Callithrix jacchus: one gene and its partners. The protein of the gene in region 3 interacts with the protein of the main gene of each other region in a biochemical or structural test. Links are inferred from orthologs where the notes say so. Each region holds a gene or a part of one and is shown on either strand. Other genes may lie near its edges. The genes, in order: DLG1, SYNJ2BP, RALBP1 and DLG4.

Region 1 (4,412 bases), on a different chromosome or scaffold from region 3:
CTGAAAATGTGTTTAATATACCTAACCTACTGAACAACATAGCTTAGCCTAGATTACCTTAATCATGCTCAGAACACTTATCCTACAGTTGGACAAAATCATCCAACGTAACTGTTTCATAATTAAGTGTTGAATTTTTCATGTAATTCACTGACTACTGTACTACAAGTGAAAAACAGAATGGTTGTATAGTACTTCAAATATGGCTGCTACTGAATATGCATCATTTTTACACCACTGTAAAGTTGAACCATGCTAAGTTGGGGGCCATCTGTGTTTATGTCATTATGGACTCTAAAATTTTTATTTTACTCTATGTATTATAATCTTTATTATCACTTATTCTGATATTCAAATTATCTCAGACTTGGCCAGTGGGGAACTCTACAGCTTGGTTCCTGTGTCTTTTTATATATCCTCATCATTGAGTGCTTCCTTATTTTTCAGGAAGCAAATGTTTTTATAGGATCATCTTGAACTTTTCCAGTCCTGGCCCCAGAATCAGCCATTTATCTAAAGAGTCCTAGATCTTTTAAATAAAGAATTATATTTAGAAGCCAACATCTGGGCAACAGATATTCTCATTGCTTATTGAGTGTTACTTTTAGGTCTTCTCAATGGATAGAGCAAATAAACATATATGTCTATACATATAAATACACATCTATTTCTCTATCTACTCTATTACAATTCATGGGTTCATAGTCATAGCTCTAATCGTCTAGTATTTCCAATCCAATTATCACAGAGTTCATTTTACCTTCTCCCTTTTTCTGACAGGCAAGCCCCACTTTCACTACTGTCACTATATTAGTTTACTTGATCAACCCCAGAATATATATTAGTTTCAGAACTACAAGCCCATACACTGCACACAACAAACCTACTAATTAGAGTTTGATTTTGTTTACAGATCTTTCTGTTTTCAGCTTGTGTTAAAGAATCTCTGGGATTAAGAATTCTCTCCTTCTCAATGTAGTTAAGTTATTCATCTGAAATACAGTCAGGTTTATTTAGTTTCTATTTGTATATCATTTTGCTTTCCCCCATCTTTCTTTGATTTTATTTTTGAGTTTTAAAAATATGTAAAATATTAACATATTTTCTAAAATTAAAATAATACAAATATGTATGCTCAGAGAAATGTCGTACCTAATCCTTTCCAATCCATTCCAAATTCCCCATCCTTTCTACTTCCCTCTGTAGGTAACCAATCTCATCAAGTTCTGATTTACCTTTCCTGTGTTTGTTTTCATACAACTGAGTAGAGATATCTATTTTCCCATTTTCTTTTATCAGTTCAGATACCTTCTTTTTTTTTTTTTTTTTGAGACGAGTTTCGCTCTTATTACCCAGGCTGGAGTGCAATGGCTCAATCTCAGCTCACCACAACCTCTGCCTCCTGGGTTTTGGCAATTCTCCTGCCTCAGCCTCCCGAGTAGCTGGGATTACAGGCGTGCGCCACCATGCCCAGCTAATTTTTTGTATTTTTAGTAGAGACGGGGTTTCACCATGTTGACCAGGATGGTCTCGATCTCTTGACCTCGTGATCCACCCGCCTCGGCCTCCCAAAGTGCTGGGATTACAGGCTTGAGCCACCGCACCCGGCCCCAGATACCTTCTTTATTAACAGTTTTAGAGAACTTCATTTTGTGAATGTAAAATTAATTGTTCAATCACTCTTTTATCTGGGCATTTAGATAGTTTTCAGTATCTCACAATTATAAACAATGCTACAATAAATGCCCCTTTGCCCATGTATTTTCATACTGTTGGGGGTATCTCTGGAATAAATTCCTAGACGTGGAATGCTGGGCTGAAGGATAGCTGCTGGATATTGCCAAATACCCTTCCAAAGGCAGCACCAGTTTGCATCTCCACCAGCAATGCACGACTGTCTGTTTGCTCTCAGCCTCACCAAGAAAATGTCTTCATATTTCTCCCCCAGTAGGATAGGGGAAAAATGGAATTTAGAGTAATTTTAATTTACCTTTCTTTCTTTTTTTTTTTTTTTTTTTTTTGAGATGGAGTCTTTCTCTGTTGCCCAGGCTGGAGTGCAGTGGTGTGGTCTTGGATCACTGCAACCTCTGCCTACTGGGTTCAAGTGATTCTCCTGCCTCAGTCTCCCAAGTAGCTTGAATTACAGGTGTGTACCACCACATCTGGCTGATTTTTGTATTTTTAGTAGAGATGGGGTTTCACCACGTTGGCCAGGCTGTTCTTGAACTACTAATCTCAGGTGATCTACCCGTCCTGGTCTCCCAAAGAGCTGGTATTACCCGTGGGCCACCATGCCCAGCCAATTTACATTTCTTTAATAATGACTATGGCTGGACATCATTTCCTCTGTACAGAGGCCATTTTTATATTGTATTTTTGTGTGAACCATGTATTCTCATCTTTTGTCCATTTTTTTTCTCTTAGGTTTCTGGCCTCTATTCCCTGTTTTTATGAGGTCTTTACATAGTGGGACTATCAGCCCCTTTCTTGCAAGGTTTTTCTCTGTCAGTTGCCTTTTGACATTGTTAATGGTATTTTCCAGTAGTTTTTGGAAAAGTTCTTTCGCCATAAATTAAGTTAAAAAAATTTTTTTTTTGAGACAGAGTCTTGCTCTGTCACCCAGGGTGGAGTATACTGGCGCGATCTCTGCTCAATGCAACCTCCACCTCCCGGGTTCGAGCAATTCTCCTGCCTCAGCCTCTCGAGTAGCTGGGACTACAGGCATGAGCCACCACGCTCGGCTAATTTTTGTATTTTTAGTAGAGACGGGGTTTCATCATGTTGGTCAGGCTGGTCTTGAACTCCTGACCTCAGGTGATCTGTCTGCTTTGGCCTCCCAAAGTGTTGGGATCATAGGGGTGAGCGACCATGCCTGGTCGGTTTTAAAAAAATTAAGTGGTCAGATTCTTTATTTCTTTTCTTTTCCCTCCCTCCCTCCCTTTTTCTTTCTTCTCTCTTTCCCCCTCCCTCTTTCTCTGTCTTTCTTTCCTTTTTTTCCTTCCTTCCTGTCTTTCTTGGTCTATCTCTAGCAAATGACCTTACAATGATAACTTCTCCTCTCACTTTGTCTACCTATTTTATTGTCTATGCACTTTCCTAGGTCACGTAAAATTAAATATTTAGATAAACAAATTCATTACATTAATAAAACTGATCAGTGCTGTATCTACTCTACCACTCTTTCATTCTGTCAAAGGCATATCTGATTAGAAGCTATATTCTGGGGTTAGTTTGATGCTTACCTTTTCTGCTACTTCTCGCACAGACTGAACACTTGTTCCATATAGATGATTGTTATACTGACCAGCTTCAATAAATTTATGTTCTTGGATATCTTTTTCCATCTGCTCTCTTGAAGTCACAAAATGATAATCTCTTCCATCTACTTCATAATCTCGCTTTGGTCTAGTTGTATCTTTAACAGAAGAAAACTTGGGGAAGTGTTTAATATTTAAAAAAAACCCCACAATAAATCCATTTTCCACTTTATCATTGTTTTGTAAAGTTCAACAGATCAAATTAATTTAAATCTGAGAAAGGACAATAATATGGAGGATAAAAGAGTAACTGATAAAATAAGTAGAAACCATTAAAAAAAGGTTATATTTATTTTTCCCACACATAGTGACAGGAAATGTTAAGAATAACAATTAATAATTAAATAATTAAATGTTTTTGTTTGGGTTACTCACGAGGAACACAAGATCCAAATTTATCAGGAAATTCTGAGATCAAGTCATCATTTATCCTGTCTTTCATAGGTCCCAATATGATCACTGGTCGAGTATAATTAACTATAAAGATAAACTGCATGTTAAAAGGAATAAACATTTAACAAATATTGATATATTTTATTTCACCAGAGAACAAAAATATCCGTAACTGTTACAAAGAATTTTTTTCTTCCTCCTCCATCTTCCTTTTCCGTCAACCAAAGATGCCTAATTTGCTGTTTTATAATCTTGACTAAGATCTTAAAGTTTACTCAGTCTCCTGCTAGAAGTCATACACTTGATAATTCAAAGTTAAATTTGGTAGTTTAGCAGATTATGTTTATTTACATTGCAAATGACAGAATAACATATAGTGTTTTACAGACAGTTTTGAAGTAGAAATTGTAAGGAAGCAGAGCAAAGAAGGGCAGAAGAGAAATTAGATGTAGGAAGTGATATAATCACAGTAGTGTTTTAGAAAGATGATCTAAAGAAGTGTAAACTCTAGGTTGCATAAGATCGTGCTGGAAGAATGGAGATGGGGAGTGAGGCCGAGAACTAACATTGTGGTAGAAGGGACGAAGAGCAGGTCATAAATAAGAAAGAAGTACAATAGTGCCTGGAACCTGATTAGCTGAGGAGCATGAGGAACAGAGAAGGGTCAAAGATGCTCCCAAGATTTTCAAAAAAGGGTTATTT
Region 2 (5,064 bases), on a different chromosome or scaffold from region 3:
ATCAAACCATTTTTAGTGAAATATATTAGCTAGATATAATTATTCCCTTTAAATAGTCCTTGAAGCTTGTCCTAATGCCAATGCCAATGTTTTGGGAAAATACTAACACTAGGAAATTTATGACTGTAAATGCCAAAAAAGATGAAGTGACATTATACTAAATTTTAAGAAGATTTCATGTTTAGAACAAGAGATAGTATCAGGGTTCTGCTCTGCTTTAGACAGGAGATCTGAAAACACTGTGGATGCCACAGCAAAAGGACTATGTCAAAGTACATTAAATTCTTAAACAAAAGGCAAAAATCAAATCTCAAACATCTCGAGAGGTAATAAAATAAGTGAAGAGCTGGGCACGGTGGCTCACGCCTATAATCCCAGCAATTTGGGAGACGAAGGCGGGCAGATCACAAGGTCAGGATATCGATACCATCCTGGCCAACATGGTGAAACCCCGTCTCTATTAAAAATACAAAACTTAGCTGGGTGTGGTGGCATGCGCCTGTAGCCCCAGCAACTCGGGAGGCTGAGGCAGAAGAATCACTTGAACCCGGGAGGTAGAGGTTGCAGTAAGCCAAGATGGCACCACTGAGCTCCAGCCTGACAACAGAACAAGACTCCATCTCAAAAAAATAAAATAAAATAAAATAAAAAATAACTGAAGATATTTAGGCTAAAGAAGAAAGTGGCAAAACAGGAGCAGAACAACTAGAGCCTTTACTACTTGCACAGCAATCAGAAAAGGAACTAGCATTGTTTTAAATGGTACTAAGAAAACAAATTATCAATGAATGAAAAGTACAGAAAAACAGATTTTGGTTTAAAAGTAACTTTCTATGTTAACCTCAAAAGTCAATAAATATTAACAGTGAGTGAAGGAGAAATTTATATAAAATAGCAAAAAAATGAATCCAAGAAACTTGGGCATACCAAATGAGCCTTTGACTAAAATTTCGGTCCACAAATGGAGCATGACATTAACCCATTAAGATTAGCGACAAGCCAGGCGTGGTGGCTCACGACTGTAATTCCAGCACTTTAGGAGGCCAAGGCAGGAAGACTGCCTGAGTCCAGGAGTTCAAGACCATGCTGGGCAACAAAGTGAGACTTCGTCTCTAAAAACAAATAATAATAATGATATTAGTGATGAGTTATATTCCAATAAGTAAAACCAACTTCCAATTTTTTATAATAGAAAGGAAGGCCAGGTGCAGTGGCTCACATCTATAATCCCAGCACTTTGGGAGGCTGAGGTGGGTGGATCATTTGAACTCAGGAGTTCGAAACCAGCCTGGGCAACATAGCGAAACATCGTCTCTATTAAAAATGCAAAAAAATTAGCCAGACATGGCAGTGTATACCTGTGGTACCAGTTACGCAAAAGGCTGAGATGGGAGGATTGCTTGAGCCTGGGAGGGAGAGGCTGCAGTGAGTTCGGATCGTGCCACTACACTCCAGCCTGGGCAACAGAGTGAGATCCTGTCTCAAAAAAGAAAAAAAAGAAAAGAAAAGAAGAGAAGACACAACGTATGGGTAATTCTGAAAGTCCTATTTTATAAAGAATAATCTATCCATGATGATTAGGCTACTGCAGAACTGCAGATGAGAAAAGGTGATGCACTGCCTTACGTAGTGGCAATGGAAATAGCAGTGAAATAATTTCAGGAACATTTCAGAAATGAAGCTCATAGTACTTGATGATTTATTAAAGACTCTTGGAATACAATATTAGAATTTACTGTGTCAGTTAAGCCATTCATCCATTAACAATAACAATAGGAGACACTGCCTACCATGGGTCTGGCAATGTTGTAAACATTTTCCATCATTCTCACAACATTACGAAGTGTATTTACAACCATCCCCATTTTAGAAATGGTAAACTAAGGCTTACATCACTTAAGATAGCCAATAAGTACCAAAGAACCAGTAAGAGGTTAGAAGATTTGGACCCAGATACTGTAATTCCAAAGCTAAAGCTTTTAACCAATGAACTAAACAGCTGTAAAGGAAAGTCAACAAAGTCCATAGAAGGCAGAACGCAGTAACGTCAAGAGCCGGGTTTAATGAAGAGCCTCAGTGGAGGAAGAGGATAGCAGTTTGGCTACTCAAAATCACATGAGGTGTTCATTACAAAAAAAAAAAAAATATATATATATATATATATATATATACACACACACACTCACACACACACACACACACATACACACAGACACACCCATTTTGAATCCAAATCCCTGCAAATGACACAGGAATTAAACTTTTTTTATTTTTTAAATAAAAGGCAAAACCAAAAAGCCCTGGGTAATTTGGTGGCAGAACCAAGTTAGGGAAACTGTGTAAATAAAAGATTTCTAAGGGCTCTTCGTGATTTAACATTCTAGTTGACGCTCTAAATGAATTTCCCAGAAACGAAAGGAGCGAGGAAGGGTTCCCAGCTGGAGGAAAACGGCTATGCATTCAGAGTTCACACCGTTTATGCTCCCAATTTACTAAACGATCCCTCGTAGGGGGAGTGATAGAACAGGCAACGGAAGGATGTGGTGCCCAAGGTAAGCTGTCTAAAAAAAGCAGGCTTTAAAAAAGGCTTTTCTAGCAGGATTTGCAGAAAGAACCCCTTTTTGACTATATATATTTGTGGCCACCCGACTGGATTTTGAGGTGGATTCCTCAGACCCGTATCTGGCTAATGATGGAATTCAATATATTTTCTCTAAGCACCCCAAAGCTTTGCAGGAAACCTCTAGGTTGGGGCCTGCCTGCCCCGAGGCCAGGTGAATCCCGCTCAGCAGCAGAGGTGTCGGCAATTACCTCCTCTAATCCCCTACTATCCGATAATGACCTGTTCCGCACATACCTGAGGGTCCTCTGGTAAGATTGATTTCTTCTTCAGTGACCAAATAATCCACTCTTCCGTTCATGTTTTACAGCTTGCCTGGCTTCCTACGTGGGTCAGCTGGAGTTCTGCAGGTGAAGGTGAATCAATCTCGGCGCTGCGCCCACAGCACAGCACTTTCGGTTTCAGCAGCCTCGAGACCCGGAAAAGGAAGTTCAAAGGACTCGGAGCGCTGGGAATGCTGGGAATCGTGGTTCTTACTGCCCACGGGTTGCAGTTTTTCACCGCTTCCCAAAGTCAAGCAAGAGGTGAGCAAGGGGCAAGCCACCATTCTAATTTGCCATTGAAAGCAGGTGGGAAGGGGGTGGCTAGTAAAAGTAAGGGACCTAAACAAATTGATATTGTCGAGAAAAAATAAAAAGAAAATAAAATCTGCCGTCCTAGAAAATCTAAACAAATGTAGAAAAGGAAAAAAAGTTGTATTATTCTGTAAGCATCGAACCAGACTGGAATGGTGTCACAGGCAATCCACTAATAAGATTGCAAAGAGAGACGAAAATCTCATCTTTTATGTAGCCAAAGCACACGCATGTACTCGTGGAAGACGAGTTGACATAGTTTCGTATTCAATTTTTTGGTAGTTTACCCTTGGAGTGGCCGTCTGTGTTGGCTAGTTGCCTTTATCCAAAGGAAAAATAAAACGTTATCTCTGTGACAAACAGGTATTTAAAGCTTGGAGCAAGGTGCTTAGATTAACTCCTGCAGTGTGGAACACAGGGGCGCTATCTTGATACCTACATTTCAAGGAGTTGGCTCCTGGGACCTTAGGAAAAAATTCCTGGTTTTTATCTGACAAGAGGCTTATTTATTTTTTATTTTTTTATTTGTACCTGGGTATTTAGCTTTTAAAAAGACACACACACACACACACACACACACACACACACGCACAGATTATAATCACAATTTGCTCAAGAAAAGTTTTTAAGAAATGGTGTGGGGGAATGTCTCATCCTTTTGGCAACTGGGAAAATTCAATCTTTTTAATTTTTTAACCGTTACAATAAGGTTAATGCACGACTTAGACTTTAGCCCAGTCTTTCTGACCTTTGGAATGAGACATTCGAAACTGAACTTGAATGAAACTTAAGGGGTCAAAAACACAAAAGCCTTAAGAGCCAGGACCACAGGGATTGGTGGGGATCTTAGAGTACTAGAAAGTGCAAGGCCAATATAAAGACATTCAAATTCAGAGTAAAAAACCAAAGCGGCACTTTGGGAGGCCAAGGCAGGTGGGTCACCTGAGGTCGGGAGTTTAAGACCAGGCTGACTGAAATGGAGAAACGCTGTCTCTACTAAAAATACAAAAAATTAGCTGGATGTGACGGTCCAGGCCTGTAATCCCAGCTACTTGGGAGGCCGAGGCAGGAAAATCCTTGAACCCAAGAGGTGGAGGTTACAGTGAGCCAAGAACCCGCCATTGCACACCAGCCTGGGCAGCAAAAGTGAAACCCCATCTCAAAAAACAACAACAACAACAACAACAAAACACCAAAGCAGCAGCTACCATGTTTATCACACAGAAACACTGGAGGAGATGGGGGCAGATTTGGCAGGGAAGCCTCTTATTTGCTCCCTCTGAGAGAAGTTAAGATTAAACAGTGGAAAGAACACAGATTATGCCTTAAGACCTGAGCTCAAGTTTCCATTCCATTCCCTTAACACTTGTCTGTCTTCGAGCAAGGAACCCAACATCTCTGAACTCTGTTTCCCCATCTTAAAAAGGGATTGATAATGGTTCCTTACATGTTGGTTGGGTGAGTGAATAAAATTATCATTATAAAAGGCAGAGAATGATAAATGAAAAAAAGTAAAATACAAAAAAAAGACATTGGGGCCCGGGTGCAGTAGCTCACACCTGTAATTTCTGCACTTTGGGAGGCCGAAGTGGGCAGATCACTTGAGGTCAGATGTTTGAGACAAGCCTGACCAACATAGTGAAACCCCATCTCTACTAAAAATACAAAAAAATTAGCCAAGTATGGTGGCGCGGGCCTGTAGTCCCAGGTACATGGGAGGCTGAGGCAGGAAAATCACTTGAACCTGGGAAATGGAGATTGTAGTATGCTGAAGTCACACCACTGCACTCCATCCTGGGCAACAGAGCGAGACTCTATATAAAATAAATTAATTAAATTAAATAAATGACATTGTAATGTCAGAAGAGA
Region 3 (4,957 bases):
AGGCTGAGGTGGGAGGATCACTGGAGCCTGAGAAGTTGAGGCTGCAGTAAACCCTGATGGAGTGCAATGAGTGCCATGGCATTTCTTCCTGAGTGACAGACTGAGACCTTCTCTCAAAAGAAATTTAAAAATTAAAAAATAAAATAAAAATCATATCCTGTCTCTTTTCTCATTAAAATACATAAACCCTATTATTATCTATAGGAAAAAATGGTAAGGTCCTTGGAATGGCATGCAATACTTTTGAAGATCTGTGCAACCTCATCTTCTGCTACTTACCACCACAACTAATGCTACAGCTACAGTAAACAAATTTCCATTCTCAAAAGTGTTCCATGTTCTTTCTTTTTTTTGTCTTTTTCTTTTTTCCTTTTTGTGGAGAACAGGGTCTCACTATATTGCTCAGGCAGGTCTCAAACTCCTGGGCTCAAGCTATCCTCCTGCCTCCACCTCCCTAAAGCTGGGAATACAGGTGTGAGCCGCTGCATCCAGTGTTCCATGTTCTTTCTCACCTATATGTCTCTGTCTACATTTCCCTCTCCAAGTTCCTTCCCCACCCCAGCCCCAGCCCCCTAATTTCTGCATCGGTCATGAGTAAGCCTGCTTTAAGCTTAAGGACATAAAGTATACAGTACCGAATATAGCGCCAGACATATAGCAGAGGGTTAAAAATGGGCTGAGTTGACTTAGGTTTTTTTCTTCGTCCTCTCAATGACTTCTATTTGCTTATAAGATAAAACTGCAATTACTTCGATGTCTGCAAGACTATCCACAATTTGCTCTGCCTGTCTCCCCAGTTTCAGGTCTTGCCACCACTCTGTATTATATTTGCTATTTTTGCAGATGCTACTCTGTAATTTTACACTCCCATGCTTTTTCTCACACTGCTCCTTCTACCTAAATGCCCATTCTTTCTATGCCTGTACACTTGTTATTTTCATCACCTTCTATATATATAGTTTTTCCTTACAGCTTCCCCCTTCTTCAGTTCTCCTTTTCTTCATTTTAAGAAACTGAACACTAACTCCTTAGAACATCTACTATACCCTCATCTGTTCTTCAATCAATACAAGCTTGTACTTGTTGACAATTAAAGAGAGAAGGTTCAACTACCCTAAAGGCAGGGACATTGCCTTATCTATCTTTAAGTCCTCTTGCCTGGTCACAATAGTTTCTACATAGCAATTCCTGTATTCTAAATAATCTGCATTTTTCCTCATTCCCTCTTACATATACTAAGTTTCTATAGGGATCTTCTTTCAAAACACAAAGCACATTCTTTTAGGTTACATTCTTGGCCCGATTTCTTCTTGCCAAGCAAACAACCATGTAACTATAACTGTACAAATTAAAGTTACTATGCACTTTCTGATACCATTTTCCATTCTAAATTAGGGGAGAAATTCATATTTTGAAGAGATAGCAAACTAAGTTGTATTACATTGTTTCAAGTTACCTTGTTTAAAGAGTTACTTCTCAAAAGCTACTGTTAACTAACCTACCCCACTCATCTACCAGATACTCTGAATGAAAAGTGAGAACCATTCTACTGACCTTCCAACCCTTATTACCACCACTCCAGCTTACAGTAATTATTCATTATCAGAAAGACAGAAAGGAGTTATCAAATCACCAAAATAACTCTAAAAACAGAAAGTGATCTTTCTTATTCACAGTCCCATTTATTCATTTAGAAGTGCTGCCTCTCTGAGCACCAAATCAAAACCTTATCACAAGTTCAGTATTTCGTGAATAACTGCCAAGTACGATGGAATGCTCCCCAAAGTATTGCAGCATTAGAACATGACCACTCTACTAAATAAAAAATCCAGCGAAAGCTTTTCTAACAAGGCTGGATGGTGCGCTAACTAAACGACCAAACGGCTGCACTTCCTGTACATGCACGTTCAAAATACCTCGAATTAACACTAGGGATCTTGAAGAACTGTACTAGGCCTTGCTCAAGAGGAAGAAGGCTATGTAACACTGAATCCCAAAACTTGAAACAGCAGGATTACTTCAGGGAAGTCGGAGGTGTGAAATAATTCTGTAAAACCTGTTTCACTCTCACAACGACCAGTTTTCTAAAAAGAGAGAGAAAGCTGACCTCAATTAAGAGCATTTTGGCAGAGACATGAGTTTTGAAAGAATTCTCAACTCCAGATCCGTCCCTTCATTCCAAATGAAACCTGAAGGAAGGACCGCAGCACCCAAGGGCGCTCACTGCTCAGTGACAGCGGAGAGCGACACCAGGAGCCTGTCCTGGTTTCCTGGGAAAACCCCAAAGCCCGGCCACTATGCCGGGCACGACCCACCAGCCGTGAGGGCTGGGTCCCCTGGTCTCCGTCCAGGCGTCCCCAAAAGCTCCCCCGAGGCCTGGAGACTCCGAGGGAGACTCAGCTACTAACTCTCCGCCCCCGGCCCCCGAGAGCACCACAAACGTGGATGCCGCGAAGGGAGGCCCTTCGGCCAGAGGGAGCGACGAACGGCCAGGAGGGCGAGAACTGGGACGAAGTCTTCCCGGGAGGAACCGACGCCGGGGGCAGCCACGCCCACCACCCCCAACTTCAAATTCCAGCGCGGCGAGCGCCGAGCCCCACACGCTGCCTGACAGACGAGGGCGCGAGGCCGGCGCCGGAGAGGGCTCCTCGGGCATGCCAGGGGCATCGCCGCGACCCTCGCACGCGACAGCTCCCTGTGACTAACCTGTACCTGCCGCCGCGCGACCGCCCGCCCCGCCGCAGCCGCCACCTCTTCGTGCTCACGCTGCTGCCGCAGCCACTGCAGCCGCCTCCTGCGCTGCGCCCCAGGCCGGCCTCGAGCGCCCCATTCCCACCCCGCCCAGCCTCCGCCTGTTTACAATGATTGGGACGGAACGAGACGAGCCGGTCCAGCGCGCACGCGCACTCCCTCCTCCCGCCGCAGCCGGCTTCCCGGGTCCTCCTCTCAGCTCTGACGGCTGAATCCGTCAAGGGCAGGCGCCCTGTGCCCTCGCGCGGGGTGCACTGGGAGGCGTAGTTCTTCAGACCCCGGCGTCCAGTCAGCCAGAAGGCCTCTCTCCAAGGAAGAAAACTACAACACCCAGGAGGCACCGCACCGCCTTCGTCCTGGCTCGTTGAGCTGACAGACTGAGGGAGAGCGCGAGAGAACGCGCCGAGCGCTAGTGCTCTGCAGGCGCCTGCGCAGTCGCTGGCCTTGCAGGACCCCAGGACGGACGCCTACCCCTGTGTATTGCTGGCGAGGGTGGTTTGCGGGCATCTCCTGCCACAGCCTTGAGGACAGAAAGAGCTTTCCTCTCCACGCTCTGGTCAGCCTGCGCCTCAGCTACCAAAGTTGAGAGCTTTCTTTGTGCCGGCGTGTTTCAGTCGTTCCAACCAGTTAAACCAGCCTGGGGGCCGTCCGGCCTGCCGCTGGGTGGGGCAGCTGCCCCGCCTTCGACTGGGTGTGGGGTTGGGGGAAGGAGCGTCTTAGGCCTGTAGGGAGAGACGGGAATAAAGCTCGGTCGGGAGCATCCACAGAATTTCTGAAGCGGGTGTTGGCTCCTGCGGGGACTTGGAATAGACGGCCCTTCCCTGTCACTCGCATTCCTACTTGCAGGACTCTCTGGAAAATCGTTGTCCAATAGATTGGCAGCTGCTATCCATCTTGCTCTCTTGCTCCCACACCGGCTTTTCTCAAAGCAGGCAGTAAATTTGTCCCTAGTACTCTGCGCTCCCTACCCATCAAAGTTCAACCTCAGGGGTCTTAACACAGGGGCCTTCCACGAGTGGATACGGGATAGTCTTTGGCTTTCGGGGCCACTCGCAGTAGAACAGTCTCCTCTGATCTCTGGGTTGGACAGGTAAGCATGGCAGTGATAATTTCCTGCCTGTGGCAGCACTGATTGGGCCGCAGAGGGGGAGCAGGGGGAGATTTTTGCTGAGGCAGTTGCTGATGGACATGTTTCCTGCATCATCAAGTGGCCTACCCAAAGATGAGGGTGTGATAGAGAAGAAATGAGAAATGGAAAGGGAGAAAGAGCTGGCAGAATGAAGACTGTGCTTTTATTTGTTTTTTTGCAGCTCTTTAAGTGCTGTGAGCATGTGAGCCTCAGTGGGTGAGCCCACTAATTCATTCATTATTTGGAGCCAATATGTGTGGATGTAGCATATATTTGTTGACTGCCTCTTGAGCATTTATTCCTCCCATTTTAGCCTCACCACCATTCCATCTAGCAACAGAGATGGTCACAAACCCAATCAGAAACAATGAACCCACAAAGACTTGGGCTGGGGCTTCTAGTAAACTGTAGCTCCTTGCTCCTCTAGTATGGTGTAAGTATATGACGTCTAGAAATATGGCAACCATTTTCCTCCTATAAGGAGAAACCCTAGAGAGATGAGAGTTTAGAGGGAAGGCAGCAGTAGAGCCTGAGGTTGAAGTCAGTACTGTCAAATGGGTGCGGGAAAGATGGAGAAGAACCTTGTGTTTGAGGCCTGGTTTGAGCTGCAGTAAACCTCACGTGTTTGATTCTATGTACTATCCTGTAGACTATTCTGGATTGTGTGCAAGGGCCATTTTACAGACTATCCAGAATTGTGAGCCACAAATTTCCTGTGTTGTTCAAGCCAGTTCATATTAAAATTCTAAAAGTTCTAACTAATTAAGTTGGATTTCTTTTACATGACACTGAAAGGTCCTATTATAGGTTCCTACATAAAAAAACTGTGGAAGGAATGTTCAGCTATGGCTGTGTGGCATAGTCAGCAATTCTCTGCACACAAAATCAGTATTAAACTGGACAAAATTGGCTAAAACAACCATTTCAGAGCACTGGAAATCAAATACAGAAAACAATTTGAGAAGCATTTATTCTTGAAAAACTGCTAGAACTTCTAGCAGAAATAGATGTCTGTGGCCTTCTGGCCTGAGGCTGCTTCTCTCCCACCCTGTTGCACCAGAACTGCAGTTTTGCCAG
Region 4 (4,412 bases), on a different chromosome or scaffold from region 3:
ATGGCCCTGGGCCCTGTGCTCCTCAATGAGGAGCTGTCCTTCCCAAAGGCTCATGGGAGCCACAGTCCCCAGGAGGTCCCAACAGACAAACCCCTAGGAGGTCAGAGGGCAAACACATCCCCGATGGCTGTCCACCCCGAGGGACCTTGGGAATTTCAGTGCCTGTGGCAGGAAGGCTACAGAGCCCAGAGCCTCACCGCCGTTTGCTGGGGATGAAGCCAATGTCATCGGTCTCACTGTCAGAGTGGACCCGCCGTGCCTGCCACCACTCCTCATCGCTAGCATCGATGACATGCAGCACGTCTCCAAAGCGGAAGCTCAGGGCCTGGCTTAGGAAGCCGCAGTCCTTGGTCTTGTCGTAATCAAACAGGGCCCTGGGGGGCAAGTGGCTACTGGTCAGAGCCCGGCTGAGGACCCCAGGAAGGTTGCATCAGTCACCCTGAGACCCAGCCCAGAGATCTGTGGATGGCACTCCCATGGCCACAATGGGTGCTGAGTAACCCAAAACTGTGTGGGGACCAAACGCTGACTGTAATCGTAACCACCACAACTATTAACCATCATTCAGCCCACACTGAGTACAGTTTCCAGAGGGAGAGCTGGAACTCCACCCTCTCAAGAAAACAGTTTGCAGTACATGTGCGCATCATAAAGTCACAGGGGTAACCTTGAATCTGTCCAAATTAATAAGAAAAAGAAAGGTCCCGTGTCTGCAAATCATGGTTACCCTTACTAGTATCAAATCCCTATAAGTCACAACTCCTGGCATCAGAAACTAAAGAAGGAATGAAGATCCAGAGGAAAGCAATGGACCTGGAGAGGAGGGAAGAGACCCCAGGCCTCCTGAGAGTCTGACAACCAGAAGACATTCCCCCTGGGAGCCACCACACAATCTCTGTGGTTACTGGGAGTCAGAAGAACCTTGGGGACCAACTGGACCTGAGCACAGAGAAAGGGCAGAGCAAGGGCTCAGGTGTGAGCTGGCGTCTGGGTGGCCAGAGATGCCACTCAGCAAGAGGGAAACTGCTGATGCAGCAAGATGGAACAGGTCCACAGCAGGACGATGAGCTCAGCGGGGGACCTGTTGAGTATGGGACGCCTGTGGGACATCCCAGTAGAGATGGCCAGAAAGCAGATGGCCAGAAGTGCAGGTCTCGACCTCCGGAAAGAGTTCAGCCAGGGCCGACAGCTCCTAGAGACATCTGCAGATCGGGGCAAGAGACGAGGCCATGAGAGCCACAGGACCAGAGAGGGAGAGAAGAGGAGGCAGATGCGAGGGGGATCCGTGGGGGCAGGAGGGACCTAAGCCACAAAAGAGTCAATGGAGGCCTGAATCGGGGGGTTCACGCCTGTAATCCCAGCACTTCAAGAGGCCAAGGCGGGCAGATCACAAGGTTAGGAGATCGAGACCACTCTGGCTAACACGGTGAAACCCCGTCTCTAATAAAAATACAAAACAAAAAGCTGGGTGTGGTGGCGCGTGTCTGTAGTCCTAACTACTCAGGAGGCTGAGGTGGGAGAATCACTTGAACCCGGGAGGCAGAGGTTGCAGTGAGCCAAGATGGCACCACTGCACTCCAACCTGGGCAACAGGGGCTAGAGACTCCATCTCGAAAAAAAAAAAAGTCAAAGGAGAGGAGCCCTAAGAGGGGGTCAAAATCCCACTGGAGAGACAGGAGGCAGGCACAACAGAGCTTCGGCCCACCTCTCCAGGACTGCCCACAAGGACGTGAGGGCTGGGCAACACTCCAAATACCCTAGAGGACCGCTGTTCCCCCAAACATTAACCTTCGAAGGGCCAAATTGCGGGATGGTCTCGGAGCCCAGGGAAGTGCTGCAATGACCGGGGCTAGAAGGCAGTTGGGATACTTGGGGCAGAGGCGATTTTCCCATTGACAGGGAGTATTTCAAATGTTAATCTGTGCAACCAAGCCCATGAACCCCAGCTGCAGGTCAGGCCTGGGGTGAAAGCTAGAGCAGGCAGGGTGGAGAGGAGGAGCGGCCGAACACAGAGTGCCCAGGAACTCGGAGAGGCTGAGGAGCCCAGCCCAGGGAGCCTCTGACCTTATGTAGAAACCCCTCTTGGGGTTGCTCCGCAGGGAGGCCGTCCCTGAGCCCAGGCTGCTGTTCATGAGCTGCTCCCGAAGGTCATGGATCTTGGCCTCAAATCGGCTGTACTCTGAGGAAGGACAGGGAGGTTCTTGAGCTCTGTTCCCATCCTACTGCCACCCTCTCCACCCCCACGGAAGCCATCGGCTGAAGAGGCAGAGTCCTAAGGGCCATTTTAGCTCATAAGACAAGGAGTTTCCAGCCTGGTACCTTCTGGTTTATACTGAGCGATGATTGTGACCGTCTGACCCGCATTCTTCAGGGCAATGGCGGCCTGCTCATGGCTGGCATTGCGGAGGTCAACACCATTGACCTAGAGAGAGGAGAGGCTGTGTCACCAGAGACAGGAGCCAGCACCTCTGGGTCCAGGTGGAGCAGGGAGTGATCCCACAAGAGGACCAGGCTGCAGCTCACCCACACCCCTCCGCAAGAGCTCTGCGCTGTGCCCTGAAGAGAGGGAGTGGTGCAGCAATGGGGAGGGGATGGTGCAGGGAGGGGCAGGCCTTTCCTCACCGACAGGATCTGGTCCCCCTTCCGCAGCTCCCCACTGAGGTCTGCAGGGCCCCCAGCCAGAATAAAGGAGATGAAGATGCCTTCGCCGTCCTCGCCACCCACGATATTGAAGCCTAGGCCTGTGGAGCCCCGGTGGATCACGATTCGCCTCGGTTCTCGGGGAATGTCCTCCTCCCCGAGCAGGTCTTTGGCCACTGGGGAGTAGCGCCGAGGGGAAGTGGGGGTCATGGCTGTGGGGTAGTCGGTGCCCAGGTAGCTGCTGTGACTGATCTCATTGTCCAGGTGCTGGGAATAAGCTGAGGAAGACATGGGGTGGAGATGAAAGTGCCTGGAGGGAAACAGCACCTGCCACCCAACCTTCTCCCCAGGGGGGCCAAGGGAGCCACAGTTAGGTGGAACGGAGGTATTCTGCCAGAGACGCCAGGGTGAGGTGGAAGGGGATATCAGATCAGTGACGTCAGGGGTCAGGAATTTATAGGCGACATCAGAGGCTGATTGTCCTAGGGGATAAAGGATTTGAACATGATATGTCCTCAGTATGTCAGGGATGGGCAAGTCAAAGGGGAACATTAACACCATGCTTTGGGGTTTACTTTTGGTTCCTGTGTCTCTCAAATCTCTTGATCCATAAAATTCTTCTCCCTCTTTTTTCCCCCACTTGCCATCCATTTGTTGAAAAAACTAGGTCATTTATCTAAAAGAATTTCCCACATGCTATGAGGAAAACTTTTCTTTTTAGACAGAGTCACCCAGGCTGGAGTGCAGTGGTACGATCTCAGCTCATTGCAGCCTCTGCCTCCTGGGTTCAAGCAATGCTCATGCTTCAGCCTCCCAAGTAGCTGGGATTACAGGAGCACACCCAGCTAATTTTTGTATTTTTAGTAGAAACGGGGTTTCACCATGTTGGCCAGGCTGGTCTCGAACTCCTGACCTCAAATGATCCACCCGCCTCAGCCTCCCAAAGTGCTGGGATTATAGGCATCAGCCACCTCAACCAGCGTTTAGGGGAAAGTCTAACAGGGAAATTACTGCTTACTCTCCTGTGATGTGGTTTAGCCTCTGCCTCTGCCCCTGTATCTCCTGTAAACTGGCAGTTAATTCTGAGGCTTGATTAGTTTCAAGTTCAATTCAGAATTTTTTTTAGTAAGTCCTGTATACTTCATAGGTGGTGCTCTGTTCTTCCTACGGCATCACCACAGGATGAAATAATGTCTGGTTGTCATTCTGTCAGATAAGATTAATGGGAGGTTCGGGGTCTTCAGCCCATTCCATCCATTATAAAGTGCCCCATAAGCCTCTCAGGTAAGTTACAACCTGACAACCACCTCCTAGCTCTGGTGTGTACCAGGACCTTGGAAATAGTGATATTCTACTACGTTCTTTCTTTGGAACAGGGAGCATTTATTAGTGGGAATTCTTCTGTAAAAATAACAATCGAGGCCAGGCACAATGGCTCACGCCTGTAATCCCAGCACTCTGGAGACCAAGGCAGGCAGATCACTTGGGATCAAGGGTTTGAGAGCAGCCTGGCCAACATGGCGAAATCCCATCTCTACTAAACATACAAAAATTGGCTGGGCATCGCAGCTCATGTCTGTAATCTCAGGTACTCAGGAGGCTGAGGCAAGAAAATTGCTTGAACGCAGGAGGCGGAGGTTGCAATGAGCCAAGATTGTGCCACTGCACTCCAGCCTGGGCGACAGACCCAGACTCCCTCTCAAAAAAAAAAAATCCTCCAGCTTGGATAACATGGTGAAATCCTATCTCTACAAAATAAAAAGCTAGCTGAG

The links.
Region 1: the proteins of RALBP1 (region 3) and DLG1 interact in a test that uses a peptide from one of them, tested with the Homo sapiens proteins (2 studies listed by IntAct, with this or other methods). The link is inferred for Callithrix jacchus from reciprocal best matches to the Homo sapiens genes RALBP1 and DLG1.
Region 2: the proteins of RALBP1 (region 3) and SYNJ2BP form a complex in vitro, tested with the Homo sapiens proteins (2 studies listed by BioGRID and IntAct, with this or other methods). The link is inferred for Callithrix jacchus from reciprocal best matches to the Homo sapiens genes RALBP1 and SYNJ2BP.
Region 4: the proteins of RALBP1 (region 3) and DLG4 interact in a biophysical measurement, tested with the Homo sapiens proteins (2 studies listed by IntAct, with this or other methods). The link is inferred for Callithrix jacchus from reciprocal best matches to the Homo sapiens genes RALBP1 and DLG4.

The regions. Positions count from the first base shown.
Region 1 is NC_133516.1:25,086,285-25,090,696, reverse strand, and holds part of DLG1 (disks large homolog 1), read right to left. Parts: intron 3,795-4,412; coding exon 3,693-3,794; intron 3,416-3,692; coding exon 3,243-3,415; intron 1-3,242. UniProt on the Homo sapiens protein: Essential multidomain scaffolding protein required for normal development. Recruits channels, receptors and signaling molecules to discrete plasma membrane domains in polarized cells.
Region 2 is NC_133509.1:105,382,740-105,387,803, forward strand, and holds the start of SYNJ2BP (synaptojanin-2-binding protein), read right to left. Parts: upstream 3,027-5,064; 5' UTR 2,922-3,026; coding exon 2,858-2,921; intron 1-2,857. UniProt on the Homo sapiens protein: Regulates endocytosis of activin type 2 receptor kinases through the Ral/RALBP1-dependent pathway and may be involved in suppression of activin-induced signal transduction.
Region 3 is NC_133514.1:53,472,807-53,477,763, forward strand, and holds the start of RALBP1 (ralA-binding protein 1), read right to left. Parts: upstream 3,354-4,957; 5' UTR 3,223-3,353; intron 2,888-3,222; exon of another isoform or gene 2,707-2,887; intron 1-2,706. UniProt on the Homo sapiens protein: Multifunctional protein that functions as a downstream effector of RALA and RALB. As a GTPase-activating protein/GAP can inactivate CDC42 and RAC1 by stimulating their GTPase activity.
Region 4 is NC_133506.1:73,685,458-73,689,869, forward strand, and holds part of DLG4 (disks large homolog 4), read right to left. Parts: intron 2,919-4,412; coding exon 2,623-2,918; intron 2,423-2,622; coding exon 2,320-2,422; intron 2,180-2,319; coding exon 2,065-2,179; intron 375-2,064; coding exon 198-374; intron 1-197. UniProt on the Homo sapiens protein: Postsynaptic scaffolding protein that plays a critical role in synaptogenesis and synaptic plasticity by providing a platform for the postsynaptic clustering of crucial synaptic proteins.